5 linked regions of the Sus scrofa genome follow. The protein of the gene in region 3 interacts with the protein of the main gene of each other region in a pairwise test. Links are inferred from orthologs where the notes say so. Each region holds a gene or a part of one and is shown on either strand. Other genes may lie near its edges. The genes, in order: melanoma-associated antigen B18-like, TDRD7, GABPB1, IL16 and LMO1.

Region 1 (5,043 bases), on a different chromosome or scaffold from region 3:
TCCAGTTTATTGATGTTACTAAGAGCAGGTTTGCATTCTAGGGTTTTTCCCTCCAACACTGAGAAATACCATTTGTGTACATGGCCTCTGCTCACCAGCTCCACAGACAGCCTCATCTAGCCTACCACCCAGCTTAAATCAACAGGATATCCCACTGAGACACTTCTATTTTCCCCAAACCCCAAACTGCTGTTCCCCAGGGAATTTGCACCTTACTGTTTTCAGCCAGACACCCTCCCCTTCCCTGCCCCCTTACCTCCTTACTCTTTTTTTTTTTTTTTTTTTTTTTTTTTTTTTTTTTGTCTTTTTGCCTTTTCTCAGGCCGCTCCCACGGCATATGGAGGTTCCCAGGCTAGGGGTTGAATCGGAGCTATAGCCGCCGGCCTATGCCAGAGCCACAGCAACTCAGGATCTGAGCCGCGTCTGCAAACTACACCACAGCTCACGGCAACACCGGATCCTTAACCCACTGAGCGAGGCCAGGGATCGAACCTGCAACCTCATGGTTCCTAGTTGGATTCGTTAACCACTGCGCCACAATGGGAACTCCACCTCCTTATTCCTTCTTAAGACTCCTTTAGGTATTAGAGGGTATTTCACCATCTTCTGTATATGATTACTGCTCCTTGGCTGTAAAATTCTAAAGGCAGTGGTGTTTTGTATCCTAGTTTCACCATTTCTAACACAGTAATTTTCAAAGAACATATGCTCATTTAATATTTGGGGAAGAATGAGCCAGTGAGCATGAGTTTATAAACAGTTTATTTCTCTTACATTCTTTAATAAGCTAAGCAAGTCCAGGTACATATCTTTTATTTTTTACAGAACAACAGACTAAAGTGGATAATGGAAACCAAGAGCTGCACTTTTTTTTTTTTTTTTTTTTTTTTTTTTTTTTTTTTTACTTTTTTCCTCTTTTTTTTGATCCCAGCAATTTTACTGCTCATTTTTTTTTTTCACATTTCCAAAGAAATGTCTATTACCATGCCAGGTTTTTTTTTTGTTTGTTTGTTTTGGTTCAGTAAATTTGAAAGGTTTCCCAATTTGTTTTATAAAATAATAAAACTCCTTAAATCTATTAAATTAAATCTAATAAATATGTAACTGAAATAATTAATAAATTTAGATTCTGCAATTATTTCTACCTTCTATTAAAGAAACAACATTTAAAATATAACCAAAGGAAAGAAAAAGTGACAGGAAGGAAGGGAGAGAAGGAGGGAGGGAGGAAAGAAAAAAGAAGGGACAAGAAAAGGAAGGCAAAAGATTAAACTATAAGTTTACCATAGAGAACAGAAACACAAAGATGATATACGCTGTGTTCTTTCCAGACCCACTGGTCATCCCCCACTTAAAATGTTACTGCTCTTTTTCCACAAGGAAAACAATATTTCTTAGATTTCATCATTCGAAATACAACCTAAAGAAAGAAAAAGAAAGGTAAAATTCCAAGTTAGCAATATATAACAGGAATACAACGATGATATACTTCTCAAGTCCCACCCTAGCCCTCCACCATTAGAACATTGCCACACCTTTTCAACCAAAAGTGAAGAACTGTCCTCGGACTTCACTTAGCATGGGAGAGGTTGCTGGCTGTGGCCCTGGAGCGCACACTGGCCATGGCCGCAAGTCGAGCCCTGGCTGCAGCTCTGGCTTGGGCTCTTTCTTCCTCATCTCTCAGAGCCTCTTCGTACCAGGATGGGAATGCACTGGGCACAGTATCATGAACCTTGGCTAAAAACTCCAGGACTTTCATCTTGCTGGTTTCAGCATGTGCCCTTGGGCCCCATAGGAACTCATATCGAGGAGGATCACTGTCAGGAACCTGACGGTACTCCAGGTACTTTAGCTGCACCAAATCTTCAGTGATAACCTTCTTGGGATCCCCATAGAGGAAGTGCTTCCTCTCAGCATATACACCCATCATATTCAGCACTTCCCAGATCTCCTCTTCAGGGGCACATTTGCCATTCATGAAGATCACACCCAGTACAATCATTAGAAGGCCAGTCTTGGGCATGTTCTCTTCTTCATTCATCGTTCCATCAAAGGTGAGGTCTAGTTTGCTGACAAGGGCATAGCAGTGCCTGGTAGGATCCACTTCCTTCAAATCAACACCAAAGGCCAGCTCCATGTGCTCAGAGGCTCTCTTGAGGATCTCATTGAAATGATATTTGTACTTTTTAATAACAAACTTCAGCATGTCTGCCTTCGTAATTGGCTCTTTTTTTTGATACTTTTGCAACAGGAACTGTACCAACAAAACCACCTTCTTGTTTAAAGGATCTCTGCGTGAGCCCTCAGTGCCCCTGGAGGATTTTGAGCTTTCCTCCTTTTGGCTGCTGGTACCTTCATCCGAATTGGTGCATGAAACAGCTGCACTAGCATCGGTGGTTCCCTGTGGCGCCTCAGGAGTGCTAGGTGTCTCAGCAGCAGATAAATTCTGAGGTCTGTCCTCAGTGAGAGCATGGACCAGGGACAGGGACTCTCCTGCTGCTGCGGCAGTAGCCTGAGCATCTTCCAGACCCTGGGTCTCAGCACGGGCCTGGCGGCGTTTCTCACGGGCTCGGAGCTTACTCTTCTGTCCTCGAGGCATGATGACTTTGGTCAGGGACAGTAGGCACAGTTGTTCAAGCAATTAGGTTTTTGGAGAGGTCGCCCTAGAAGACAGAGAAAGAAATGGTGTGCACAGCCTCAGCAGGGAGATTCTTCCACCTTGGCTGCCAAGAAAAGCTGCCTTTGCTGATTTTCTTAGGGGTACTGTTTTAGGAAACCACAAAACAAGGGTGGTGAGACTCTGTGGACCTCCTCTGATCTGCAGAGGCTTGTGATCTCAGTTCTAACCCAGTATACTAAACTTGGCTCCTGACCAGTCTTTTAACTCCTCCTGCTCTTGACTTGAGGCTGCCCCTTCAGACCAGGGCTTCTCACACCACAAATTCTCCCACTGAGAGTTGGGGAGGGGCATTGGGCCTAACAGCCCTGTTTGAGCCCCTTGGGGTTAAGGGTGGGGATGGAACATGTCAGAATATGGCGGGACTTTGCGAGGACACCTCAGTGCTGGGAGGAGTCTGTCCCTTCAGTTCAAACAAAGATTACTCACCTTGACATCAGTCCAATCCTGGAACTCCTCCCTCTGCTGATATGGGACCACACTCCTCAGACCTAGGCCTAAGTTTCCATGGCTGGTGTGGCAGAAATCAGGGTGAGCACTTCTTGCCACGCCCACCCCATCCTCCCAGCAGGAGTTATAGCAGGGGTGGGGTTATGGGGAGTTCTATCTCGGTTCTGGGAGACTGAGGAATCATGCAGAACTCTGGAAGGAGTTTTTCGTGACTCCTGACAGGGCCTGGGACTTCTTCCTCTCCTGAGATAAGTCAGCTGGCCTCTGACCAAGGTTCTCATTTCACTCAGAATCCCAGGTAGGAAGTAGGGGGGCACCTGAGTCTAATGGGACTGACAGTAGGGGCCCCTTTGTGGCCCCTTAATTTGGGGGGTTCCTCACTCAGTCTTCACTCAGTCCTCACTCAGTGTCTTACCTTGATGCCTTGTAGGTGCTGGGTTACTTCCTTGCTGATTCAGTGCGAAACCTATCAGGTAAGGCATAAGCCCGTAAATAATTTAAGAAGAATTGACATCTGTACAATATTCTACTCACCATAAATAAACATAATATTGTTCTATTTGAGTCTTCTTTTACCTTAGTGCATCAGTAATTTTTTTTTTTCTATTTGCTTCCATAAAGATCAAGTTTGTTAGTTCTCTTTTTAGGTGTATTTGGGATATCAATGCTATTTTGAATGGTGTTATTTTCTATTACATATTCTAATTAGTTATTTGTTTTGTGTGGAAAGAGTCTTGGTTTTGGTGTGGTGATCTTCTGTACCAGCTTGCTTAAGTTCCTTATATATTTTAATATTTGGCAGCCAGTTTCTTTGGTGTTTTTAATTAGAATATCATCTTTCATTATTTATAATTTTTATTTTGGTAATGCTGTGTATTACTGTATGTTGGCCATGCAATCCAGTCCAGGTTTGAATAGTAGAGTTGGTACCATACCTCTCTGCCCTCTTCTGGACTTTATTGGGACTGTTTCTAACATTTCACACTTACATATGTTTGCGCTTGATTTTACCATATGAAAATTCCATTCTAATGTAAGTTTTCTAGAAGTTATTACCATGAACTGGTGTTGAGTTTTTATGAAAAGTTCTTTACTCCTGCCAATGGTTAAATACTTTGTCTTTTCTGACTGTTAACATGCCGAATGCCAATACTCTTTGTTGGCAAACCATTCTAGAGGTGACACTGCAATTCTATTAGAAGATACATAGACTGTAGTTTCCTTTGTGGTGATATTGGCAGTCATTGAAGATCATCACTGCCATCCATTAATCCATTAGAGGCTCCTGAGTTTTAATTCTCTAATTCTATCATTCCTTCTCAAATTATTAGCTGAAATATAATATCTATAGGTAGAACTTTCTGTTATCCTTCATTTTGTTTTCTTGAGATCAGCCTTACAGTGGCCCTATTTTACTGCCAAAAGAGAGAAACAGAGAGAGACAGAGAGATAGAAAGAGATAAAAAAAGCTAAATTTTTATTTGTCTAATCAATATCAGAATATTCTTTCATTCAAAATTGTTTTATATATATTTTATAATCTTAGTAATGAAATATCTTGCTAAACCAGTTGAGAGAACTAAACCAGTTAATAACTGGCTGAATAATTCATCTGTTATTTATGACTATTAATGAGCAGCTTTGGAATAATCAGTGTTCAGACCCTAGTGTGTGTCATATGACACATTATATGTGCCTAAAGATAGTTATAATTTTAGGAGACATATAAAATTTTCCTTTGATTTATTCAAAGACAGCTTTCTTTGAAGGGATATGGTTTCTCTGCTCTTTCTAGATAGTTTACCATCATTATGCTAGTTGAGATTTATTTTTTTTTCTTTATAAGTTCTAACTTGGATTTTGCAAGTAGTATGCATGTAGACACAAAAACAGATTGTGGCACTCCTTCTTCTGGG
Region 2 (6,459 bases), about 120 Mb from region 3:
TGGTGACGGAAATCAGATTAGTGGTTGCTGGGGGCTGGAGATGGTAGGGGGGAATTAACTGTAAAGAGGCAGGAGGGATCTTTTTGAAACAATGGATTAGTTCAATGGTTCCATTGTGGTGGTGGACACATGATTGAATACATTTGTCAAATTCATTAACCTGTACACTTAAAATATTTATTATATGTAAACTATTAATCAATGCAACTGATTTTTAAAAAAACTTACTGCAGAGCATCATTTATCCTTATAGATAGGCCAGTCCAAACATGGACTCCTTTTGCAAGGGCCTCAGACTTGGGGTCAACTCACATCATTTCATGATTTATTTTACATATTGGACTTGGGAGTTTGTCCTAATTTCCTACTCCAACCGGCCATCTTTCAATTGGGAGCCGCTTTTTACATCTTTCCAATCTTAAATGTGAAGCCAGGGGATGTATGAGCACTGCAGAGTCCAAATTGAATCTGGTTGTGTATTAGGTTTATTAAGTCCAATGCAGTGTTTGGAGCAGAATGGAGGGGAGAGAAGGAAAAGAGATATCTGAAATAGACTGAAATACAGCAGTGGGGATGAAAAAATTGCCAAGGAGAGACATTTGGGCAGATTTAGTCAGGGACTAGATGTGGGCATAAAAAAGAGAGCAGTGTTCAGAGAAGACGTTGAACGGTTTCCCATTGCCTTTGAAAAAAAGCCCAAACTCCTAAGCATGGCTATCAGGCCTTCCAGAGTCTGTTTCCAATCTCCATCTTCATTGCCCACTACCTCTTTTCACTGAATCTAAAGCTCCTCAAGCACAGGCTTGTGCCTTAACATAGTAGGCACTCTATTAATAGCAGTTGTTCTGTACAGGGTAGTTGTATGTACAAATATACAAATGTCCATTCGCCTACTGATGGAGGTCTGTGTTATTCTCCTGTTTGGCTGTTACAAACAAAACTGCTATGAATATTCTTGTCCAGGTCATTATGTGGACGTATGTTTTCATTTCCCTTGGGTAAATGCTGGGAATGGAATAGCTGGGTCATATGGTAGGTTTCATACACCCATACAATGGAATACTACTCAGAAATGAAAAGACTTGAACTCTTGGTGCACACAGCAATATGGATGAATCTCAACATGCTTCTGCTGAGTGAAAGAGGCTGGATTCCCCCCCCCCCAAAAAAGACAGCACATATATGATTCTGTTTATATAAAATTCTAGAAAAAACAAACTAATCTATAGCTACAGAAAACAAAGCTGCAGTTGATAAGGCAAGGGACAGAGGCACATGAGGTGAGGATTATAAACGTGCATGAGAAAACTCTTTTGGGGAGACAGATATGTTCATTATTTTTACAGCAGTGCTAGTTTCACAGCTGTATACACATGTCAAAACATCATAGTGTACATTTTAAACATGGGTAGCATGTCAATTATACTTTAATAAAGCTGTAAAAAATACTGTTTGAATAAATAGTAGGCCCTCAGTAAAGGCATATAGAATGAATGCAGCAAAGTGTTTATAGTTGGTTTAAGGAATACAAACCAATATGCCCAATAAATGTTGGTAGAATTAATGTGCAGAAAAAAAAGTGAATACTAGGTGTTCAGTAATTTTATAACAAATGAATGAATAAATGAATTTGAGAAATGTTTATGTCAGCCTACCCTGTGCCAGGGACTATTCTTGGTTCTGGGAATAGATTACGGAACAAAACAAAGATCCCTGAGCTCATAGAGTTTTAATCTGAGGAGGACAGTAGACAACGAAAAGGTAAGTAAAACACATAGAGTGTGCTACCCGGGTGCTAAGGAGAGAGAAAGGTGAGAAGGCGTTGGGACAGGGAATGTTAGCGAAGGAGAAGACATTTTTGAGAAGGTGGCTCCTCCTCGAAAGGGTAACCCTTGAGAAAAGACCGAAAGGAAATGAGCGGACCAGGTGGGTGTCTGAGAGAATAAAAAGTAACTGCCCCAGAAACGAAGAAAAGACTGAGCGAGAGCTGAATGAGACATCTGACGGGTACGCGAATGCAATAGCAGGCGCACACATGTGCTGGTGAAGTGGGCTGGGTCCCGGGTCTTCCCGGCCCGCCCGTTCTTGCATCGTCCACGTGGAGGCGCTCCTGCGCCCGCCCTGCCGTCGTCTTCCGCCGACGGCCCGTGCGTGGGCACGCGCAGAAACCGCTAGGCGGCGTCGGTTTCCCTTCCCACGCGCGGACGCCGGCGTGGGCGGACGCGGCCGGGGTGCCCGCGCGTGCGCAGAGCCGAAGCCGGGCTGCCCTCGGGGAGGGGCGGAGCGGGGCGGGGCCGAGCAGGGCGGGGCGGGGGCTTGAGGTGATTCCCGAGCCGCGGCGGCGGCGGCGGCGGCAGCGGCGGCTCCGGCCGTGCTGGGGAAACCGAAAGTGGGCGGTGGCTGCGGCTGTGGCCCTGGCGGAGACGGCGGCGAGAGCCGGGCCCAGAGGCGCGGGGACGGGCCGCAGGCCCCCAGAACGAGGTGAGCGCAGGTCCCGCCGGCTGCAGAAACGACAGGTGCCGGGCGAGGTTTGGCGAGGTTTCAGGCTGGCACAACGCACCTGGGTCGCTAGCGGAACAGTGGCCCGAGCGGGACTCGAATGGACCCCGGGCCTCTTCCCTGCAGCCGCAGAGGATGCCCCGGTCTCCACCCAGGAAAGCGGGCTGGGCTCCAGGGAGTTGGAGTTCCAGAGCGTTGTGTTGTAAATCTTTGATGGGACCCCTCCCCCGACCGCTCGGGGCTGTCTGGGCGTTCACCCCTGGGGAGTCGGACGGACCCCTGACGCCTGGGAAACTCAGTGCAGTGGGGAAATGCAGCAGGGGGGTGTGGACAGGGGGCGGGAGATGATGACCAGGAAGTGGTTCCTGGTACCGGCGCAGGGGCCCCCAGCCGCCCGCTTGGAGCAAGGGATAGCCGGGCCCCCTGGCTATTGAACTCCCGTATTTTACACCGTGAACTTTAAGTTCCTTAAAGGCACGGACCTCTCTTTACAGACCAGCCCTGCAAGCCGCTTAAGTAATGTAGGACACAAATAACTATCCGCTTCTCTTAAACCGCGAGCACCTGGTGGGTACAGAGCACCAAGTAAGGAGGGAAATATGAATCCAAGAGTGAGTTGTCTCTTTACTTTCGCCAGAACCCCCAACAGGGTCAGGTTCTCAGCCTCAGTTTAAGGGCTCGGAGCCCGCATGACTGTTCTGCTCAGATCTCCTTGAGGGGGTAGGTGCAGTACATTTCCATACATAACCAAGGGCACCACTCACTCCCAAACAATTTCAAAGAACTGGAAAGGGAAACAGCGATGTTAGAAAACGTCTTGGCCCCAAAGATTCCCGAAAGCCACCCTACAAAACGAAAACAAAAATACCACTGATCTGGGTCATCCCTCCTTCCCCACTTTCGTGCAGGTGGAAAATTTGCTGAAAAGTGCCCTGCCTTGTGATAGATGACAATTTAATGACCGAAGTGAAAATTAGACCCAAGTCCCTATTCCCCATCTGCTTTGATGTGCTGGTGTTGCATACTGTGCATAGTGGGAGCTTTGCAGACTTGGCTTCTGGGCTTCTCCACTTCGTAATTGTGTAAATTGAACAAATTACATAGTGTTTTTGAGCCTGGCTTTCTGTTTATCAATTGGAAATACTTAACTTTGCAAGGCTTTTGTGAAATAACTACTGTAGTCCCTTTGACTCATAGTAATAAAGAAGTGTTAACTCTTTTCCTTCCACCAGACTTCCCATATTTTACATAATTGTGTTTCACTCTCTTGGAGGCAGGGACATAACTTTAAGTTCTGTCTATCATATAAATTGGACCATGGTGGAGGTTTCTGCACGTTCACTCAACTGCCATTCAGGGAGCATCATGAACTGTGCTGGTGCGGGAAATGGCTGTGGAGCCAACCGGGGTAGAACCTACATCCCCTGTGCCTCCCGTCCAGGGCCCTTTGCCAGCCCACAGCCTCCCTGTGTGCTAGAGAAACATAGTGAGACTGTGAAGTAGCACTTGGTGGTGCCTTCAGATTACAGCCCCTGTAGATTGGAAATGAAATGTAATCCCTGCTAATGCCCTTTTAAGTGTCCTAGTTGAACATGGCTGAATGAACTATTGTATTTTGTACCTAGAGATTTAACTCTTTGAAGGATGTCTCTTTAAGTTCTCAGTGCAGTACAGTCTAGTTAGAGACTTCATATGAATGTAAAGGAAAAATAGAATCCAACTCTTAAGTGCTGACTCTGTGAGCAAGTGCTATTTCTGAGAACCGAGATTTGACATAGAATGAATGCTTTGCTTCTGGGCAAAGCTTCAGGGTCAGCAGATACATACAAAACGGACAGAGGTTCCTTGGTGCTTGGAGTGAAATCTCATTTCATATCTATGTGAATTGGTTTTTTTCTTTCTTGATGGAAAACTACCTTTCTCCTCCCTGCTCCTGCCTTTGTGTTTTTAGAAGCTTCATTCTTTTCATTATTTCCCCTATTGGGCCAGTTTTTTACAAAATATTGCCTTTTATACAAACAATTTAAAGGCAGTTTGTCATTTTTAACTGAAAATATGTGTGAGGATGTATGGCAGTTAATGCTTCTGATCGGCACAAGACACTCAACGTGACCCCAGAGTAAACTCAGTATTTTAGCTCTGCTGCTTTGTCAACAGGAAGCACACCCATGATTTCCATCAGATCTTTGGACCCTATTTTGCCCTTGAAGGAAAACCAGGGAAAGTTGGAAACTGTGGATCTTGTCCATCCTCTTTTTCTTCCATATGAAAAAAGTGACTTAGAGACTTGCTCAGAGTCACACCTAATTAGAATCAGAACTGGCATTAAGACCCAAACTCCTAACTAAGCCACTTACGATCTCAGGGTTTTTTCCTCTGGCCTGTAGATTTATGGAAAGCCCTTATTTATTCATACTGTGTAATTAGTAATGCATGTATAATTTGGAGGTTGAAATTACAATAATAAAAAAAAGGAAGGAGTTCCCGTCGTGGCTTAGTGGTTAATGAATCCGACTAGGAACCATGAGGTTGCGGGTTTGACCCCTGGCCTTGCTCAGTGGGTTAAGGATCCGGCGTTGCCGTGAGCTGTGGTGTAGGTTGCAGAAGCGGCTCGGATCCCGAGTTGCTGTGGCTTTGGCAGAGGCCGTTGGCTATAGCTCCGATTAGACCCTAGCCTGGGAACTTCCATATGCCTTGGGAGCGGCCCAAGAAATGGCAAAAAGACAAAAAAAAAAAAAAAAAAAGAATAGGAAACAGCTCTCTGAAGTTACCCTGAGGGAGAATATCACTACCCGAGGGCATTAATAACTATCTTTCTTTTTAAGAAGAATTGATAAAGGAATAATTCAGGTGTAACAAATAGACTACAGTTGGAAAGAAAAGATAATATATTAAACTGTTGCAAGGTGAGAAATCACCAAAACTTTACCTCTCTGAGGCTCAGTTTATTGATTTTTTGTAATGAGGGATTTGGGATAGACTGGAGGATGCCTAAAATCTTTTCAGCACAGACATTCTGGGTTTTAGGGGCCTGGCTTAGTGCTACAGATAGTGTCTGCATGGAGAAGGGCAGCCATTTACCAGAAGTATGTGCCTTAAGGGAATAATAAAAATTGAGTAGCTGACTAAAGAAGGTAAGAGAGATTGCATGGTGATTTCAGTTTACCCTAACAATTCTTCCGATTTATTTGGGCTTTTAGTGCCACTCTTCAAATCGAATTTATAACACGAAAAGTGCAATGGGGAAGATGAGCCAAATAATGCAGCTGGAAATAGTTGAGAAAAGAGAAGCTGAGCGGAGAGAGCACAGATGGGAGGGAGATCAGCTTGGCTAAAGGTCTCTGGGCCTCAGGAGGGAGGAAGCTCCAGCTTCAGGAAGCACATCACATGCACATGACTGAGCCAGGGAGGACGAGCCAGTGGTAAAAGCAGGTATCTAGAGGACACCAAACCTGGCTCTTCAGAATAAGACTCTCCCAGAACCCTTTTCAGGGTCAGGTGTGTTAGAAATGTTGTGCATTTGCAAACTTCAGTTTTGAGTGTGAAAATTATTTTAGGCTGTTCACATTGTTTAAACCTTGCTTTCCTGCAGGTTGTCATTACTTTCCCCTATTCCTTGCCCCACTTTTTGTACTTCATTAACATTTGGGGGCACTCGTGATTAATTGTGTAGCAAAATAGAAAAGGAACAGTATAAAAGGATTGGATTTTTGCAGCAGTTGACAGGTCTTTTGGATTTGGGTGCCGCATCCTTAAATCACACTGTGTGGCAGATGCCCGTTTAAGGTCCCTTGAAGTACTAGTCACTAAGAATGCCCCAGGGCTGTTCCCTGTGTCCCCCAAGTCGAACTTGTGTTCAGAAGCCAACTCTATACATTGGAGTGTCTGAAAGGAAGCCTTAAGTCTGGGAGCCGGAAGACTGGGGGTCTTGTGGTTCTGGCCATAAAAGAAGGCCTGGAA
Region 3 (5,745 bases):
TACTGCTAAGCTACAATGGGAACTCCTCATTAGTTTCTTAATAATTAGATTCAGGCCAAACATTTCCAGGAAGAACAGAGGTGGTATTTTGTAATCTCTCATTGCATCACATCAGACGGCACATAATGTCAGGCCATCCTTGTAATGAACACTTGGTGCGAGTGGTGACTGCCAGGTTGTTATGGGTACATCCTCCCTTTTGTAACTACTACAAATTTTTGGTGTGATACTTTGAGAACATTTGTTTGGCAAAAGCATATCACCAGTGTTTTTAACATCCATTGGTGATGCTTGCCTGAATCATTTATTACATTGGGAAATTACAATGATAATTTTTCTCATTTTGTTAATTAGATGTAATTCTTCTCTATCAAGAAGATCTTTGCTCTTTCCCCCTTTCTCTCCTTTTTCATGACGTATTATCACAGATAAATGGATTTTTAAAAATTGAGTGTGTTATTGGCAGTTCCTTAGGTTAAGAACCTGACTAGTATCCATGAAAATGTGGGTTTGATCCCTGGCCTCACTCAGTGTGTTAAGGATCCAGTGTTACTGCAAGCTCTGGTATAGGTTGCAGATGTGGCTTGAATCTGGCATTGCTGTGGCTGTGGTGTAGGCTGGCAGCTCTAGCTCTGATTCCACCCCTGGCCTGGGAACTTCCATATGCTGCAGGTATGCCCCTAAAACAAAATGAAACAAAACTTCAGTGTGTTATAATCCACTGCTGTGATTGTTCCTTTTGATGCTTTTTTATTGACATGTAATGGACACATGGAAAAGTGCATTGTTCGTAAATGTACAATTTAGTGATCGTTTCTGTGTAATCATTGCTCAGTTCATAAACGGAGAGTACACAATATGTATTTTGTGTCTGATTTACATCACTCAGCATTATTTTTGTCAATTTATCCATGTTTTGCATTTAGTCACTTTAATTGCTGTGTAGTATTCCAGTGCATCTACCACAGTTTATTTCTTCATTCTACTTTTGACAAATATATGATTTATTCATGTTTTTGAGTAAAGCTTCTATAAATGTTCCTGTGTCTGTCCTTTGGGATCAATAGTTGACCATAGGATTGCCTTTGGGAGAAGATTTTGGCAGTTTCTTTACCTCAGCAAGACCAGAAGTGCCGTTTTCAGCTGCCAGAATCTTCTCTGAACCCCTCATAAAGTATCAAGAGCATAGTTTGAGATTTTATTTATGTAAATGTTAATATATTGCATCATTCACTAGCCTACAGTACCAGATCTATATGCCACTTACTGTCAAGGCAACCCTTGTTCACACAGTCCAGAAGGGAAATACTCTTGGTTCTACTTGAAAAATACAAATTTCCATATTTTTTTGGATATGGAAATGTTTATTAACTCATATGTAAGTGTGAATGGAATATAACCACATACAGTATTTTTCTCTTTTGTGGAATTTTGTTCAGCTGGTGTAACTTGTCATGTCTGTGACCTTAGGAGGTTTTAAAAGTTTCATACTTCATAGAACTAAATTAAGATAGTTTATTTATTTATCTGTTTATTTTTTGCCTTTTTTTTTTTCCTTAGGACTGCATATGTGTCATATGGAAGTTCTCAGGCTAGGGGTCAAAGTGGAGCTGAAGCTACTGGCCTACACCACAGCCTCAGCAAAGCAGAATCTGAGCTATGTCCGTGACCTGCATCACAGCTGATGGCAATGCTGGATTCTTAACCCACTGAGCGAGGCCAGGCTTCGAATCTGCATCCTCATGGATACTAGTTGGGTTCATTACTGCTGAGCCGCAATGGGAACCCCCGAAGATAGTTTATTTAATTAAAATGTTGATGCATAGATAGTTGAAATTCATTGTAAATTGTAGGACTTGTAGTCCACTGTTTACATAGATATGTACAGCACCCCTGGAAGCTGAATTTAAAAACCATGTAAAAGCTTTTCTGAATAAGAAAGAGGACAGCAAAGATAGCAGAACAAAAATAAACTTCTGTTCATACTTTTATATATGTTCATTGATTTTTACTTTTTTTTTTTTTTCCAGTAGTGGCTACAGAGGAAGTAGTTACTGCAGAATCTGTGGATGGTGCAATTCAGCAAGTAGTTAGTTCAGGGGGTCAACAGGTCATCACGATAGTTACAGATGGAATTCAGCTTGGAAATTTGCACTCCATTCCAACCAGTGGAATAGGTCAGCCCATCATTGTGACCATGCCAGATGGACAACAAGGTTGGTAGGAGGCATTTACATAAAGTTTGTGTTCGTTTTTAATTCTCAGGAAATTGTGACATGTTTTTCAAAGCCTTCATTTTTGCCTTAAATAATGTTTTAGTAACCTTTTACAACAGACTTAATTGCCTAATTTTATTTGTTCAGGCCACTCTTAAATTTGCCTGCTTGCTCTGAGTGTATACTAGGTGGAAAGAAGAATTGGCCCCAAAGTATCCTGGTTGGAAAATGAGCTTAAATAAATAATTCAAAGTCAGCATTGGACACTACTTTCCTAAGCCATTTAATGTAATTCAAATATCATACCAACTTTTAAAAATACCATGTTAGAAAAGGCTACTTACTTAAAAAGAAGTTGGACTTAGCACTTAGAGAAGGAACATGGTGGCAACTTTTAGCAGCTTTGTTGATAATTATCCCATTTTTTTTTCCTTTTGAGTAATGAAACTAGTAATAAGAGGGACATAACATAAGCCCCAGTTACATTTTCAATGAAACTAAAAGGCTGAGAAAATGGCACAATTCCATATTTTAAGTGCTGCCAAAAGCATCTAAGGTCTAAACCAGGGCAGGACAACCCTCAGAGAAACCCACAATCATGCATCAAGAAAAGAGGATGAGCTCGGAAATCAGCAATAAATATGTACTCCCAGCAAGACAGGGCCCAGTTTGAGCAGGAAGGCCGTCAAGTAGGGTGAAAATAGACTGGAGCGTGAAAGCTGGAGGAAGCAGAAAGAGAAGCAGAAAGTTACTGTCTGAGCAAGGTTTCCCTTGCACCCAGTACCACCTCCCCCTCACCCAAAAAGTACATGCACATACATCCTTTTAGAAAATGACTAGGATTGCAGAGACTGAGTCTCTTCATGGCCTGTGAAAGACTTGGGAACGGGAATGCCTAGAGGTAGAAGTTCTCCTAAATCAGGTTTGGTTTAAGTTGACAGTGGAGGTATGGCCCTGCAGAGAGACCAGGTGTCAAGGAAAGATTTTGTCCCTGTAGCAGTGGAGGAGGAAACCCTTGACCCATAAAGCCTGGGAGGCATTTCTCTCCTGCTCTGCAGAAATCTGCTCATGGTCCAAGGTTTGGATCAAGCCCAGGTACTTTCACATAGCTTTAAAGAACTAATTTTAATTATATGGAAGAGAGGAAACTTCCAAAGTATTTGCATTAAGCAAATATAACATTGTTTCTAAAACCTGAGATTATACATGAACTCTAATCTCATTGATGAACAAATGGAAAGAAACCTAAGTTTTTGGATAGGATGAGTCACTATCATGAAGCTCTCAATGCCTCCTGAGTTAATTGATAAATGTAATGTGATATGAAAAAAAAAGACTAGGGCTATCATAACAAAATACCACAGCCTGGGTGACTTAAACCACAGAATTTAATCTTCTCACAGTTCTGGAAGCTGGAAGTCCAAGATCAAGGTGTTGGCAGGTTTGGTTTCTTGAGGTCTTTCTCCTTAGCTGCAGATAGCTGCCTTCTGCTTTGTCCTCACATAATCTTCCCTCAGTCTGTGTTTGTTGTCTGTGTCCTAAGCTCTTAGAAAGACACCAGGCATACTGGATTAGGACCCACCCAGATGACCTTATTTTACTTCTTCACTTCTTTAAAGGTCCTATCTTCAAATATATCCTGAAATACTGGGGATTAGGACTTAAACATTTGAGGGGGGCATAATTCAGGCCATTGTAAAGACCAGTCTTTTTTTGGAAATAGCCAAACAGATTCTCAAGTTTGTATTGATGGGGTGGGGCGAGGAGGGAGGGAAGAATAAGAAACACTGCAAAAGAAGAGCAATGAGAGGAACATACTGAATATTAAAATAAATCTCAACCTCCAAAATTTAAGAATGTATAACTGGCATATGACAGTATGACTTTGTAGACAGTCCAATGAAACAGATAAAAGGTTCTCGTTTCTTGGGTAAATTTATAAGTGTAATGTGATATAAGTTAAAAGAAATACTGTAATTCTCAGTATTTTTTTTTTTTGGTTTTTTTTTTTTAATTTTTAAAAATTATAGTTGATTTACATTGTCGTGCCAATTTTAGATGTACAGCAAAGTGACCCATTCACACACACACACACACACACACACACACACACACATTCCCTTTCTTATATTAGCTTCCATCATGGTCTGTCCCAAGAGACTAGATCCCTGTGCTGTATAGTAGGAGCTCACTGTTTATCCATTCTAAATGTAATAGCTTGCATCTACTAATCCCAAACTACCAGAATATTTTTAATGTTTTTAATTACATTGTACTAAGTGATAGTTTTACTAATTTTTTTTCATTTGTTTACATTTATAAAGGACAGTAGGAGAGCTTGGAATGTTTTGACAAAAAACTTTAAAGCCTATGAGGCAGTTTTGATTTTCCTCATTATTAAGATTGCTTTGCATGGTCATCTTGCACAGTCATTTTTATGTTCCGCCAGTGCTGTGCAAAGCAAGGATAGCCTCTTGCTCTCTCTATATTTACATTTATGTAAAGAGATATTAAAAATTGGGACTAAGTCAACAACCCAATGGGAAAACAAGCAAAGTTTGCAAACAGAGTTCCTAATGGTATATCCATACAGTAAAATATAATGCAGATAAATTAGAAATGTTGTACAAAGACACAATGGAATACTATGATACAGCCATAAAAAAAAAAATCCCATAAAAAAAAATAATGCAGCTAAATTAAAGAAAGCTCTCTGTATAGAAGAATGATACCCTAGCTATATGGAGTGAAAAAAAGACACAGTGTATCTTTTGTATGTATGTTTGAATGTATGTTTTATATGTATGCTACCTTTTGTGTAATAGAGAAAAAATACAGTATGTATTCATGTTTGTTTTTATGTAGTTGGACACAAGAACCATATAAGAGAAACCAATAAAAGTGATTATCTGTGTTAGCAGAGATAGAGTTAGACCTCTTAAAATATTCTTGTTAAATATTATTTCAGTTTTGAGCCATATGAATGAATATGTTGTCTATAAAAATTTGAAAGAATAAGTAGCTACTTTAAACAATATAGTTTTTAGTAAAAAGGCAAGAAAGTGAAGACAAAGCTAGACATTTCTTATAATAAGCAAATCAGTATTTTGAAATTCTTTTAGAAAATATTTTAGATGAGTTGCGTCAACAGTCTCAAGACTAGAATCTTTAATTCTTCTAAACCTATCTGAAAATGAAGTAATATGTACATTTTTTTTCATTTTAGTATTAACAGTACCAGCAACAGACATTGCTGAAGAAACTGTCATAAGTGAAGAACCACCAGCCAAGAGACAATGTATCGAAATAATTGAAAACCGGGTGGAGTCTGCAGAAATAGAAGTAAGGAGTCTTTTACCCGGTGTGTTTTGCTGCAGTCATCCAAAATAAACTCAATTTTCTTTTCTTTTTTTTTTTCTTTTTATATTTATTACTTACGATATTGTTTTGATATAGAATCAAATAACATAGTACTTTTTTGTCTAGTGTTTTTGCCTTATCCATATAGCAAGCCTTTAATAAATAAATA
Region 4 (5,700 bases), on a different chromosome or scaffold from region 3:
GTAGAGACTCTCATACTAAGTGAAATAAGTCAGAAAGACAAAGACAAATACCATAGGATTTCACTTCTATCTGGAATCTAATATACGGCACAAATGAACCTTTCCACGGAAAAGAAAATCATGGACTTGGAGAACAGACTTGTGGTTGCCAAGGGGGAGGGAGTGGGGATGGACTGGGAATCTGGGGTTAATAGATGCAAATTATTGCCTTTGGAGTGGATAAGCAATGAGATCCCGCTGTATAGCACAGGGAATATATCTAGTTACTTATGACGGAATATGGGAGGGTAATGGGAGAAAAAAGAATGCATACATGTATGTGTGACTGGGTCACCTTGCTGTACAGTTGAAAACCGACAGAACAGGGGCGTTCCCGTGGTGGCGCAGTGGTTAACGAATCCGACTAGGAACCATGAGGTTGCGGGTTCGGTCCCTGCCCTTGCTCAGTGGGTTAAGGATCTGGCGTTGCCGTGAGCTGTGGTGTAGGTTGCAGACGTGGCTCGGATCCCGCATTGCTATGGCTCTGGCGTAGGCTGGTGGCTACAGCTCCGATTCGACCCCTAGCCTGGGAACCTCCATATGCAGTGGGAGCGGCCCAAGAAATGGCAAAAAGACAAAAAAATATATATATATAAAATAAATTAAAAAAAAAAGAAAACTGACAGAACACTGTAAACCAGCTATAATGGAAAAAATAAAAATCATTTAAAATTTAAAAAAAGCCAAGGCTCTGTGTGTGTGTGTGTGTGTGTGTGTGTGTGTGTGTGTAAATAAAATCTCCTGGGAGATATATATAGATATGTAGATATAGATATAGATATCTAGTATATATATAGTACCTTCTGGGTTTGACTGACTGGTTTGAATCTTGCTCCAGCAAGAATCTGGATCCAGCATGGTGAGTCCTGGGTCCTGACGTCTTTGCTTTGCTCAGGTTCACAGGGTGTTCCCTAATGGGTTGGCCTCCCAGGAAGGGACTATTCAGAAGGGCAATGAAGTGCTTTCCATCAACGGCAAGTCTCTCAAAGGGGCCACACACAACGATGCCCTGGCCATCCTGCGTCAAGCTCGGGACCCCAGACAAGCCGTGATTGTCACAAGGAAGCCAACCCTGGAGGCCTCGCCTGACCTCAACTCCTCCACAGATTCTGCAGCTTCCGTCTCTGTGGCCAGTGACATCTCCATAGACTCCAGTGAGTTCTCTGTGCCTGATGGGAGCCCCGTGGACCCTCTCATCTTCAGATACGTGAGGGAAGCTGCTGGGTGACATGAGGGCTGCCTTGCATGCTGCTCAGATGTGTCTGGGTTCATCTGTGCACGGGCCCAAGTTCACTGGCCGCATCAGCCAGGCTTGCGTGATGTGCCCTGTCTGTAGGCTGGAGAAGAGGGCGTCCCTAACAAAACCCCTGTGTTTTTCTCAGCAGCAGAGGCCACAGTCTGCACGGTGACCCTGGAGAAGACCTCTGCGGGGCTGGGCTTCAGCCTGGAAGGAGGGAAGGGCTCCCTGCACGGAGACAAGCCTCTGACGGTTAACAGGATCTTCAGAGGTAGGCTGTGTGTCTGCCTCTTGTCATTCTCTCCAGCTGCGGGTGTCAGGCCAGGCCCCCGCAAGGCTTCTGGGCACCCTCTAGGCCATGTCAGTTTCTCACAGTCCCAGGCCCTTTGGGAAGGCAGGCAGGCCTAGTTAAGGACATGACTTTATTTATTTATTTTTTTGGTCTTTTTAGGGCCACACCCACGGCATATGGGGTTCCCAGGCTAGGGGTCTAATCGGAGCTCCAGCTGCCGGCCTACACCAGGGCCACAGCCACACCAGATCCAAGCTGCATCTGCCACCACCTACAAAACAGCTCCCGGAAATGCTGGATCTTTAACCCACTGAGCAAGGCCAGGGATCGAACCCGCAACCTCATGGTTCCTAGTTGGATTTGTTTCTGCTGCGCCACGACGGGAACTCCAGGACTCGACTTTCTTTTTTCACCTGTTCCCTTTGGCTCAGACATCCCCTAATCCCTCTGTTTTTCTCGGTGTTTGTAAGTGATCGAGCACTGGGCTTGGGTCAGCTTGGCAGCACTGGGACTTGGTGAGGCAAGTGGGATGCTCTCCTGGGCACAGAATTGAAGCGGGCACCAAAAAACTGTCATCAACACACATACAACATACATACTATTTCAATGCAATATTTTAAAAACATCAAAATTAATTCAAAAAGCCCGTCATAGGGTGTTCCCGTCACAGCTTAATGGCAACAAACCCAGCTAGCATCCATGAGAAAGCAGGTTTGATCCCTGGCCTCACTCAGTGGGTTAAGGATCTGGTGTTGCTGTGAGCTGTGGTGTAGCTCCGATTGGACCCCTAGCCTGGGAACTAGGGTGCGGCCCTAAACAGACAAATAAACAAACAAACAAATACATCATGAACAAGATATCACGTTTTAAATACAGAGTCTGACTTTTCACTTGCACGACTCGGCCTCAGTCACTTCACCCTACTCCTGGGCCCTTCAGCTCCTACTTTTAATCAAAACTTTGAGATTTATTCTTCATGGATTGGGGAGCAAGCCAGTCCATAGTGGGGGATCACTTGGATTTTCCTGCGAAAATCATGAATGGCCCATACTCTCACAGAGAATCACTCCTGATTCTTCACTGCTTCTCAAGCTGGACCCCCGGAGTCACAGAGCACAGAAGTGTAGACAGGGAGTCATGGCTCAGGTTCTAGTCCCAGCTCTGCTTCTAACTTGCTGAGTGACCATTGCCTTCTAGGCCTGGGGCACCATATCTGTAAAAAGAGGTGCAGGTGTGTGTCTGAGAGCTCTTAGTACTGAGACCCAAGTGCTCTCCTAGCTCTGCTTCCTGTCCCCCTGGAAGCCCTTCTGCAGACTGGTTTTGTTAGCAGGAGATATACTACAGCTGCTGAAACCCAGGGAGTGGACCCAGGCTCAGGGGGAGGCTCCCCAGGGATCCTTGTTGATTCTAATTCCGGGAACAATTCTAACTTTTGAAGGTCAGCTTGGAAGGAGCATAGGGTTCAAAGTCAAGAGACCTGGCTTCTAGCGTCAGTTCTGCCACTAATGGCAGCATGACCTTGGACAAGTCCCTTCACCATCTTGGTCCCATTTGCTCACATGGGGATTAACCTCTGAGCTGCAGGGTGATATGGTACCAGGGTATGTGAGTTCTGGAGTCAGAAAGTCTGGGTTCAAATCCAGGCCCCTCCACTCAGCAGCTTTGAAGCTTGTATGAGTTATTAGAATCCTTGGTTTCCTCCCATGGAAAAAGGGAATACAAATACTAGGTACCTCAGAGGATTATTGCCATAAATGCAAGGTGTAAACACAAGGACTATTCTATATATAATTGCCCAATATAGTTTAGCTATTTTTCTCATCATCATCATTACCATTATTTTTTACTCTTATTCAATACCCGTGAATATCATTGTGTCAAAGAGACGGGAGACTTTTCTTTCAAGGTAAATAGCCAAATAGCATTCTTTCCCCAAGTAGCTTTGAAAGAGTGGGAGCCGTGTGTGGTTATGTCTTTACCTGGACTCACGGGTCTTCTCCAGGCCATTCAGAGCCAACAGTGCTTGAGGATTGTTTCATGAAAATCCCACCAGCTCTGGTCCAACACCACTCAATGCCTGCTGACCTCATTAGAAGTGGAGAGACCACATGGAGAGGAGTGGGGTGTTAGGATGGTGTCCAAGGAAGCTTGGAGGAGCACTCAGTTCCCAGAGTCCCCTAGGCCCTGTGGATGGCTCCCCAACCAGGCTCTGGCTTGGAGACGCCTGCAACCTCCCTTCTTTGCAGACAGCACAGGGCTCACTTTTCCCAGGGGCCGCAGAGAGCTGGAGCCCAGTGTGCCATCCTTGAAGGCACACCATTTGAGGAGGTGCTTCACCAAAACAAGCTGCAGAGGGATGGGTGCCAGCTCCCTTCTGAGCTGACCCGGGTCCTCAGAGACCAAGGGTAACTCCTCATTCTCTTGCCACTAGTGGAACCCATTGTGTCCTCTCTCTTCTCAGGGGCGGCCTCAGAACAGAATGAGACGATCCAGCCAGGAGATGAGATCTTACACTTGGCTGGCACTGCCGTGCAGGGCCTCACACGGTTCGAAGCCTGGAACATCATCAAGGCCTTGCCTGATGGACCTGTCACGATTGTCATCAGGAGGAAAAGCCTCCAGTCCAAGGGGACCACAGGGGCTGGAGACCCCTAGGCCGAGTGCCAGTGCTGATGCCAAAGCCAACAGCACACAGCTCCCCACAACCGCTCATTCTCAGGGTCACTGTAACCCCACCTGATGGGGGAAAGCATAGGTGTGTTTCCTGGTGGCTACCGGGTCCAGACCTTCTGGGATACTACCCAGCAAGAGGGTTGTCCCAGATGTTACGGCAGAGTCACACTGGGGTGGCTGATACAGACTACAGGCTATGTATAGAGAGAGCTTCATGATAATATTGTGGTGCTGTAAATAAAATGGATCTATTTCAATTTGATTGGAAATCCATGTTTTGCTTTGCAGATTTTCCAAGTCCTCTCATGGTGCAATGACCCACCCCAAACAGCAGCCTTTGTTTTTCTCATGACTCTGCACTGGTGGCAGGCCTGGAGGGGACCACTCATCCTGCTCCACATGGCATCAGCTGGAGCAACTCAAAGGCCAGGGGTTGGAACCACCCACAGGGTCACTCACCCACACATGGGGCTGCTGATGTTGGCTGTTGGCTGGGAGCTCAGCTGGAGCTCTTGGCCGGGACCCTTGCTGGGGGCCCCTCCCTGTGTCCTGGGCTTCCTCACAACACAGCGGCTGGGCGTCCCCTGAGAGTGTGAGAGCCAGGGAGGAGCTGCATCCTTTTCAGGACCTTGCCTCCAAAGTCCATCGCTTCTGCTGTGTTCGAGCAGTCAGAGCTGGTGCAAGCCTGCCTAGCTTTAGGGAAAAGGGAAAGATGGCTGGGGCTATTTTTGGAAAATACAATCCATCACACAAAACACCTACAAAACTGTTTGTCTTTGGGTTGGAGAAGTGCTCCTAGCAAGGGTGGTACCTGGTGGCAGAGCAAGGGAGTCCAGGTGAAACTCCATGTGTGCTTAGCCATGTCCGCAGGATGGACTGGCATGAGTCTGAGAGGGCAAGATGCAGTGGCTGCCATTTACCTCCCACGTGCCGAGTACCATGTTGGCATTAAGCAGACACGGTCTTTAGTAACCACAGCTGTGTCTACAGAGCATGGTACTGTCCCACTGAATAGATGAGGGCACTGAGGCCCACATCTACTGAGGCAACAGGCAACCTGTCCAGCTGGTAAGTGATATGGAGAGGGCAAGTCTTTTCTTCTGTGGTTTTGAAACTGACAGCATGAATGGCCTGAACCCATCCAGAACACAGACTTGGACTTGAACCCACGTGCTGGGACTCCAACACAGCTTAAACCCAGATTGGGACTTGAACCCACAGTTTTCAATTAGAATCACTCACCCTGTGTCTGGACTCACTGAGGTTCCAGTTCTTCATGCCTCCGCACAGAAGGAATTCAGTGAGAGACAAAGTGATAGGCAAGAAACAGATTTATTAGGATAGGATGCTTGTGAGAGGTGCAAGTGGGCAGGCACGGAAGCTCTGCTCCAAGGATCCAGTGGGCTACAGTTTTATCATCTAGGGGAGTAGGGGTTGGAAAAGCCTTCCTCTTCCTTTC
Region 5 (5,745 bases), on a different chromosome or scaffold from region 3:
GCCAGGTGTGTCCCCTGAGTAAGGATGTTCCAGCCAACTCACCCCCTGCAGGTGGCAGTACACGTCTAGGGCTCGGGTGGGGGTGGGGACTCAGGACTGCTGGCAGGGAGCACGCCTGCTGCCAGCGCAGGGGAGCAAGGGGAACGTCAGCCTTGGGGGTCTGGTGGAGGCTTGACCTGGAGTTTATAGGTGTAGCTACGCTGGCCAGTGCTGCTGCTCCCTCCACGGGCCCCGGGGACGGGGGTTGTCCCCTGGGAGCCCCCTGACCTCCCCACGTCCACCTCTTGGAACCCCTCCCCCACCTGCTCGCTGGAGGCCAGAGCTCTGTGACCGGGCTGGCCCCTGTCAGCAGAGACCTGGGCAGGCCTGAGGGACACTGTCTTCCTGGGAGCCCATGGCTCCTGCAGACCAATTAACCTTTAGAGCTGCATTAAGGAAATTAGGCAGCCAGCCTCCTAGTGAACAGATGGGCCGTATGGGGACCGGCGGGGCCGGGGGAGACAGCCCATCACGCCTGCCCTGCCTCCTCCCGCCCTCACCTGGCCACCCCCTGGGCCCTGGAGGCCACCCCTTTTCAGAGAGTCTGAGGAGGCAGGGAGGCTGGGAGAAGGACCGGAGGCCGGCTTGATCGGGGCTGACGTCTGGCCTCCGTTTCCCCGTCTGCAGAATAGGGTGTTTGCCTGTAAGCACACGGCCGGCCCCTGCGACCTGACCTGTGTGGACTCTGAGGCTGAGGACCTCGGGAGCGGGAGGCAGGGTCCCCGCCTGGCAGAGGGCACGGAAAGCAAGCAGCTCGGGCGCTGGCGGAGGCCCCGGGGGAGGGAGGCCGGGGATGGGGGCCGAACCCAGAGCCCAGGGGACACGGTGGGCACAGGAGGAGGGCGGCCTCCAGCGGCTGGAAAACCGAGGACGCAGGCAGGAGCGTGCTGTTCCCTCCAGGGTGACCCCCAGTGTGCTTGGGCCTGCGTCAGGGAACGAGCACCCCAACCAACCCCACTGCCTTTAGAGGGGCTCTGAGACCCCTCTCACAGGCGGCTGCCGTCCAGCCAGGCTCGAGACTGCCCCCGCCCCCCCGTGCTTCCCCCCAAGCCTTGTCTTCACATGAGGACACACACAGGGACGTCCAGGCCCCCGGGACATCTGCTCCTACCTCCTTCTCGGCGGCTCCTCCCCGTGGCCCTGGGAGGGGGACCAGGGGCCTGTGCCTCTGCACACACCTGTGCCCGTGCCTGCAGGCTGTTCCCGTGGGCACGGGGCGCTTGCCTGTGGGAGTTCTGCCCCTCCCTCCAGGCAAGGCCACACTGAGATACCTGCCCTTGTACCTTGCGACCTTCTTGTCTGTTGGGAAGCTCACCTGGGCCTGAGGTTCTTATCCTGGCAGGACAAGCAAGGGTGCAGAGGCAGGCGGGAACCCTCCCTCCCTCAGGCCAGGGCAGGTAGGGAGCAGGAGCAACCGGGCTTCTGCACCTCCCAGCCCCAGCCCCAGCCCCAGCCCACCCGGGGGTTTATCGGGGCGGGGGGGGCATCTCCCTTTCTTCCTGACACCTGCACGGCTCTGTGTGAACAGACCAAGAGGCTGTAGCCTCATGTGTTGGGTTAATCTAGTCAAGTACACAGCAGTGGGAGCACGTCTCCAGGTGGCAGAAAGATCTGGAAGGCCTAATGGACCATCAGCCCCCTGATGAGGTTCTGTTTTAGGGCTGCAGAAAAGAGCCCGTGGGCTGGTGGCTGCGTGGGGAGGCCCGGGCCTGCTGGGGATCACAGGGCCCAGGGCACAGTGGCTGGATGGAGAGCCGGACGTGGGGGGCCAGGCCTTGGGGCTCGCTGCTTGCCTGCAGCAGAGCAGACGCGGGCTCCAGCCCTGCGGAGGGCCCCTCACCGGGTGGGGAGGAGGCCGGACCGGGGCCAGGGAACGTGATTGCTGGGGAGACAGGGCGGCTCCTGGGAGCCCCTGCCCTGGAGGCGGCCGCAGAATGGGCCCCGAGGGGGGAGCCCCAGGGCCCACCGTGCCCATCTGTCTGTCGCCTGTCCCCCGCAGGCGTGCCGATGCTCTCGGTCCAGCCCAAAGGGAAGCAGAAGGGCTGCGCGGGCTGCAACCGCAAGATCAAAGACCGCTACCTGCTGAAGGCGCTGGACAAGTACTGGCACGAGGACTGCCTCAAGTGCGCCTGCTGCGACTGCCGCCTGGGCGAGGTGGGCTCCACCCTGTACACCAAGGCCAACCTCATCCTGTGCCGGCGCGACTACCTGAGGTGGGCCCCCCCCCCCGCCCCTCCCCTCCGTGCCGCCCCCTGCCCAGGGCGGTGCGGCTCCGCCCACTCCAGCCCGGGCCCCGCCCCTCGGGCCCAGTGCCCGCCCCACCCCAGACGGGCCTCGGTGCCCATGGGCACCGGAGAAGCTTCCCAGGGCAGGAGTCTGCCGCTTCCCAGAATCCAGGAAGGGGCCCCCTCGGAGGGGCCTCCAGGAGCAGGGGGGTGGGAAGCCCTGACTTCCCGGACCCCTCTGGCCTGAAGATGCCCCGACTCCTCCACCGCCCTGGCCGGGAGCCCGGCGGGGAGCCAGACCCGAGCAGAAGAGCCTCTGACCTTGGGGCTTAGAGACCACACTGGGGACCAGTTCTGAGCTTGGCTTCTTAGTGCCCCCGCCTCAGTCTACCCCTTGGTGACTGGTGAAAAGGCCAGCACTTGAACCCTACCTCGGTTCCTCAGAGCTCCAGCTGCCCCTGCCCCGCAGCCTGGACCCTTTCCCGGGCCGCCTCACCCATGACCCCCTCGGGCCGAGCATGACATCAGCAAGGCTGGAAGGAGGCCACAAAGCAGGGGCCTTGGCTGAGACCCAGCGTCTGCATTTGGCTCCCTGCAGGCTGCTGGGTGGGGCGGGGCCTGGTGGGGGCGGAGGCCCCCTGCCTTAATAAGGAGGTGGGCCCAGGGATTCAGGGGCTCCCTTGGCCCAGGACTGGGGGCGGGGGAGTTAGCAACACAGGCTCCCCTCTTTCCCCAGGATTTACCTGCCCGCTCCTTCTCTTTTAAAACTTCTGCCTTTTGCAGGAGTTTGTTTTATTATTTTAAATGGTGCTGAAAACCAGGAGGAGTGATTCAGGGCTCCTGGCGGCGCTGGAGGAGAGATGCCGAGGTCAGGGGAGAGGTCACCCACCTGCTTCTGGGGACTTGCCCTCGGCAGCCTGGGAGGGGCCTCCAAGTCCAAGGTTTAGGACCTCACCGGGAGGCTGAACCTGCCAGGTTGAGGGGAGGATGGCAGGCCGTCTGACGAGTCCACAGGACCTGGAGAGGGAGGACTGCCATGCAGGCTGGGCCCGTCCATAGAGCTCAAGCACCCACAAGCCTCCCGGGCCCTGCCAGCTCCTGGAGCCTGAAATATTTTCCTGGGCTCTGGCAGAGGCCAAGGAATGCCCTTGGGGCCAGGTAGGGCAGTGGGCCGGGGTGGGGCTGGGGCTTCCTGGAGCTGCTCAGCCCAGAGAATGGCCGTCCAGAGCCTGCCCCTCTGCAGCCACTGGACTGGTGGTAAGAAAGGCCTTTCTTGGCAGGCAGATGCTGTGGCCCGGCCTTTGTCTGCCTTAATCTGAGCCACCAGGCAGCTCAGGCTGATGAATAATGGAGCCGAGCTCATCTGCAGGTGCCTGCGTTTGAGCTCCGGACAAATCAGGGATTAGGGGGCCTCGCGCCTGCCTCTCAAGGCCCTCGCCTCACTTGGGGCTTCCTCTGCCACCGTACAGAAAGGGAGCAGACCGCTGGCGCATCCAGCCAAGGGCGGGCCTGTGTGGGGAGGGAGGAGCCCTCTGTCCTTGGAACTTTGCAGTTGGCAACTACGAGGAGGTGCCAGTCGTCCTTGGAAGGTCCTTTTGGCATCTGTTCTGTTTTAGAAGCATCTTTGAACGGGATCGTCTAGTCCAACAGTCCCACTTTAAAGAAGGATAAACTGAGGTCCAAGAAAAGGGAAAAGGGAGAGACGTCACAGCCTGAGTTCCTGAAATAGTACCAGAAAAAGGCCTCTGGTACCAGAAAAAGGACCAATGACTTGGTCTGTGAGAAGCCCCTAGAGCAGTGCCTGGCACGTAGCAGGCAGCGTCTGGGCATTTGCAGAAGGGCCGTGACTGAGTGTTTAGTTTTCACAAGCCTGCGAAGGATGTATTTAGGTCCCCATTTTATAGTTGAAGTGAGTGAGGCTCAGAGAGACCCAGTGACTTGCCTGAGGACACACAGCCCACAATAGGCAGACTGCCTTTAAATTCAGGCTTGTGTGAATCTGGAGTCCTTAGCCTGGGCTCTTTGGGGAGCCGCCGAGGGAGCTTGCTTGAGGGACCCTAGTGGGAGCCTGAGGACAGGAGGGCGAGTCAACTCAAGGCCCGCCCAGGCCTCCTCCTTGCGAGGATGTGCTGATCTGAAGCCGGACCTCTTAGCGGGATTAGACCCTTCCGTCTGTCTTCCTCCCCTCTCGCCCAGGCCCACCTACTGAACCGCAGGGGTTGGGGGCAGGTGGGGCCCCGGCTGGAGGCAACTCCCCTGCCCTCCCGCCAGCCCCCGCAGGCCCCTGAGCTCTCCGCGCCCTCCCTCTGCAGGCTCTTTGGCACCACGGGAAACTGTGCCGCCTGCAGCAAGTTGATCCCAGCCTTCGAGATGGTGATGAGGGCCCGGGACAACGTCTACCACCTCGACTGCTTCGCCTGCCAGCTCTGCAACCAGAGGTGGGTGGTGGGCTGCCACAGGCCCGATGCACTCAGCAGACCCCGCTGCCAGCTGCTGCCAGGTCTCTTGTGCTGCGGAGGCAGGCATGCAAACATGGGTTCTCTGTGTGCGTGTTGCCGGGAGCATGTATGTGCATGTGTGCATTTTATGTACACGTGGGCCTGGTAGCCAGGTATGTGCACTCCAGTACCGTGTGTGCCCATGAGTAGAGCACAGCTCCACACAGACGTAACAGACAGGGCCGTGCATGAGCCATGCGCATTGTGTCGTGGCCATGCGTGCATTTTTACACGTCACGTGCAAGGGGTCTGTGTGTGCTGTCTGCAGGATGGGTGAGTTTGCCTGTGCACGCGTGTTTCTGAATGTACGTGTACAAGAGCCCTGCGTGTGCTACCTATGGATACACGTAGGTGTGTTCTCGTGAGAAGGGGCTCCCGGACCTGGAGGGTGAAATAGCCTTTAGAATTTCGCTCCTGTGATTCTTGTTCCAGCCCAGCCCCCTCTCTGGTGTGTTGGCCCCAGCTTACTGTGCCCCCAGCCCTGTGGGAGGCCCCGGGGATCTGAGGAGCCAGAGCCCTTTAGCCCTGGCTGGGGCTGAGCCCCAGAAGGCAGGCCCTTTTGTCAGGAGCCCCCAGGTCAGGAAGGAGCTCATGCAAGCGTTGCCAGAGGGTGAGGTCCAGAGGGACCTACCTAAGCTGGTTTGGAGGAAGCTCTGCCCCGACCACCGCCAGGAGGGCTCGGTGAAGTTGCAGCGCCACCTGGTGGTTGAAAGAGGATCGGCTGGGCCTGGGCCTGTCACCCTGGGGTCCCACGAAAAGCCTTAGCTACCCTGGGGACATCTTTGGGGTAAGGGCTGAACGCTCCAGGACTTGAAGAGGACCGGGAAGGGCAGGGGGCAGGATAGGGCTTTCTTTGGGCAGAACAGAAGCGGGGGTCAGGGTCACCTCCTCCTGAAAGGTAGTTGGGAAAACCTCAGATTCTGTTCAGAGAAGAGTGCCCTTAACTGAGCCACTTCCTTACCTTGGAGAGGGGAACAGAGGAT

What was found.
Region 1: the proteins of GABPB1 (region 3) and melanoma-associated antigen B18-like interact in binary tests that used the Homo sapiens proteins (3 or more experiments, as listed by UniProt). The two-hybrid records come from large-scale screens. The link is inferred for Sus scrofa from reciprocal best matches to the Homo sapiens genes GABPB1 and MAGEB18.
Region 2: the proteins of GABPB1 (region 3) and TDRD7 interact in binary tests that used the Homo sapiens proteins (3 or more experiments, as listed by UniProt). The two-hybrid records come from large-scale screens. The link is inferred for Sus scrofa from reciprocal best matches to the Homo sapiens genes GABPB1 and TDRD7.
Region 4: the proteins of GABPB1 (region 3) and IL16 interact in binary tests that used the Homo sapiens proteins (3 or more experiments, as listed by UniProt). The two-hybrid records come from large-scale screens. The link is inferred for Sus scrofa from reciprocal best matches to the Homo sapiens genes GABPB1 and IL16.
Region 5: the proteins of GABPB1 (region 3) and LMO1 interact in binary tests that used the Homo sapiens proteins (3 or more experiments, as listed by UniProt). The two-hybrid records come from large-scale screens. The link is inferred for Sus scrofa from reciprocal best matches to the Homo sapiens genes GABPB1 and LMO1.

The regions. Positions count from the first base shown.
Region 1 is NC_010461.5:22,080,568-22,085,610, reverse strand, and holds melanoma-associated antigen B18-like, read right to left. Parts: upstream 2,695-5,043; 5' UTR 2,600-2,694; coding exon 1,571-2,599; downstream 1-1,570. UniProt on the Homo sapiens protein: May enhance ubiquitin ligase activity of RING-type zinc finger-containing E3 ubiquitin-protein ligases. Proposed to act through recruitment and/or stabilization of the Ubl-conjugating enzyme (E2) at the E3:substrate complex.
Region 2 is NC_010443.5:239,283,328-239,289,786, forward strand, and holds the start of TDRD7 (tudor domain-containing protein 7), read left to right. Parts: upstream 1-2,387; 5' UTR 2,388-2,481; intron 2,482-6,459. UniProt on the Homo sapiens protein: Component of specific cytoplasmic RNA granules involved in post-transcriptional regulation of specific genes: probably acts by binding to specific mRNAs and regulating their translation.
Region 3 is NC_010443.5:121,476,306-121,482,050, forward strand, and holds part of GABPB1 (GA-binding protein subunit beta-1), read left to right. Parts: intron 1-2,030; coding exon 2,031-2,216; intron 2,217-5,442; coding exon 5,443-5,558; coding exon of another isoform or gene 5,559-5,577; intron 5,578-5,745.
Region 4 is NC_010449.5:50,097,837-50,103,536, forward strand, and holds the end of IL16 (pro-interleukin-16), read left to right. Parts: intron 1-934; coding exon 935-1,193; intron 1,194-1,421; coding exon 1,422-1,547; intron 1,548-4,029; coding exon 4,030-4,223; 3' UTR 4,224-4,510; downstream 4,511-5,700. UniProt on the Homo sapiens protein: Interleukin-16 stimulates a migratory response in CD4+ lymphocytes, monocytes, and eosinophils. Primes CD4+ T-cells for IL-2 and IL-15 responsiveness. Also induces T-lymphocyte expression of interleukin 2 receptor. Ligand for CD4.
Region 5 is NC_010451.4:1,075,569-1,081,313, forward strand, and holds part of LMO1 (rhombotin-1), read left to right. Parts: intron 1-2,038; coding exon 2,039-2,252; intron 2,253-4,576; coding exon 4,577-4,702; intron 4,703-5,745. UniProt on the Homo sapiens protein: May be involved in gene regulation within neural lineage cells potentially by direct DNA binding or by binding to other transcription factors.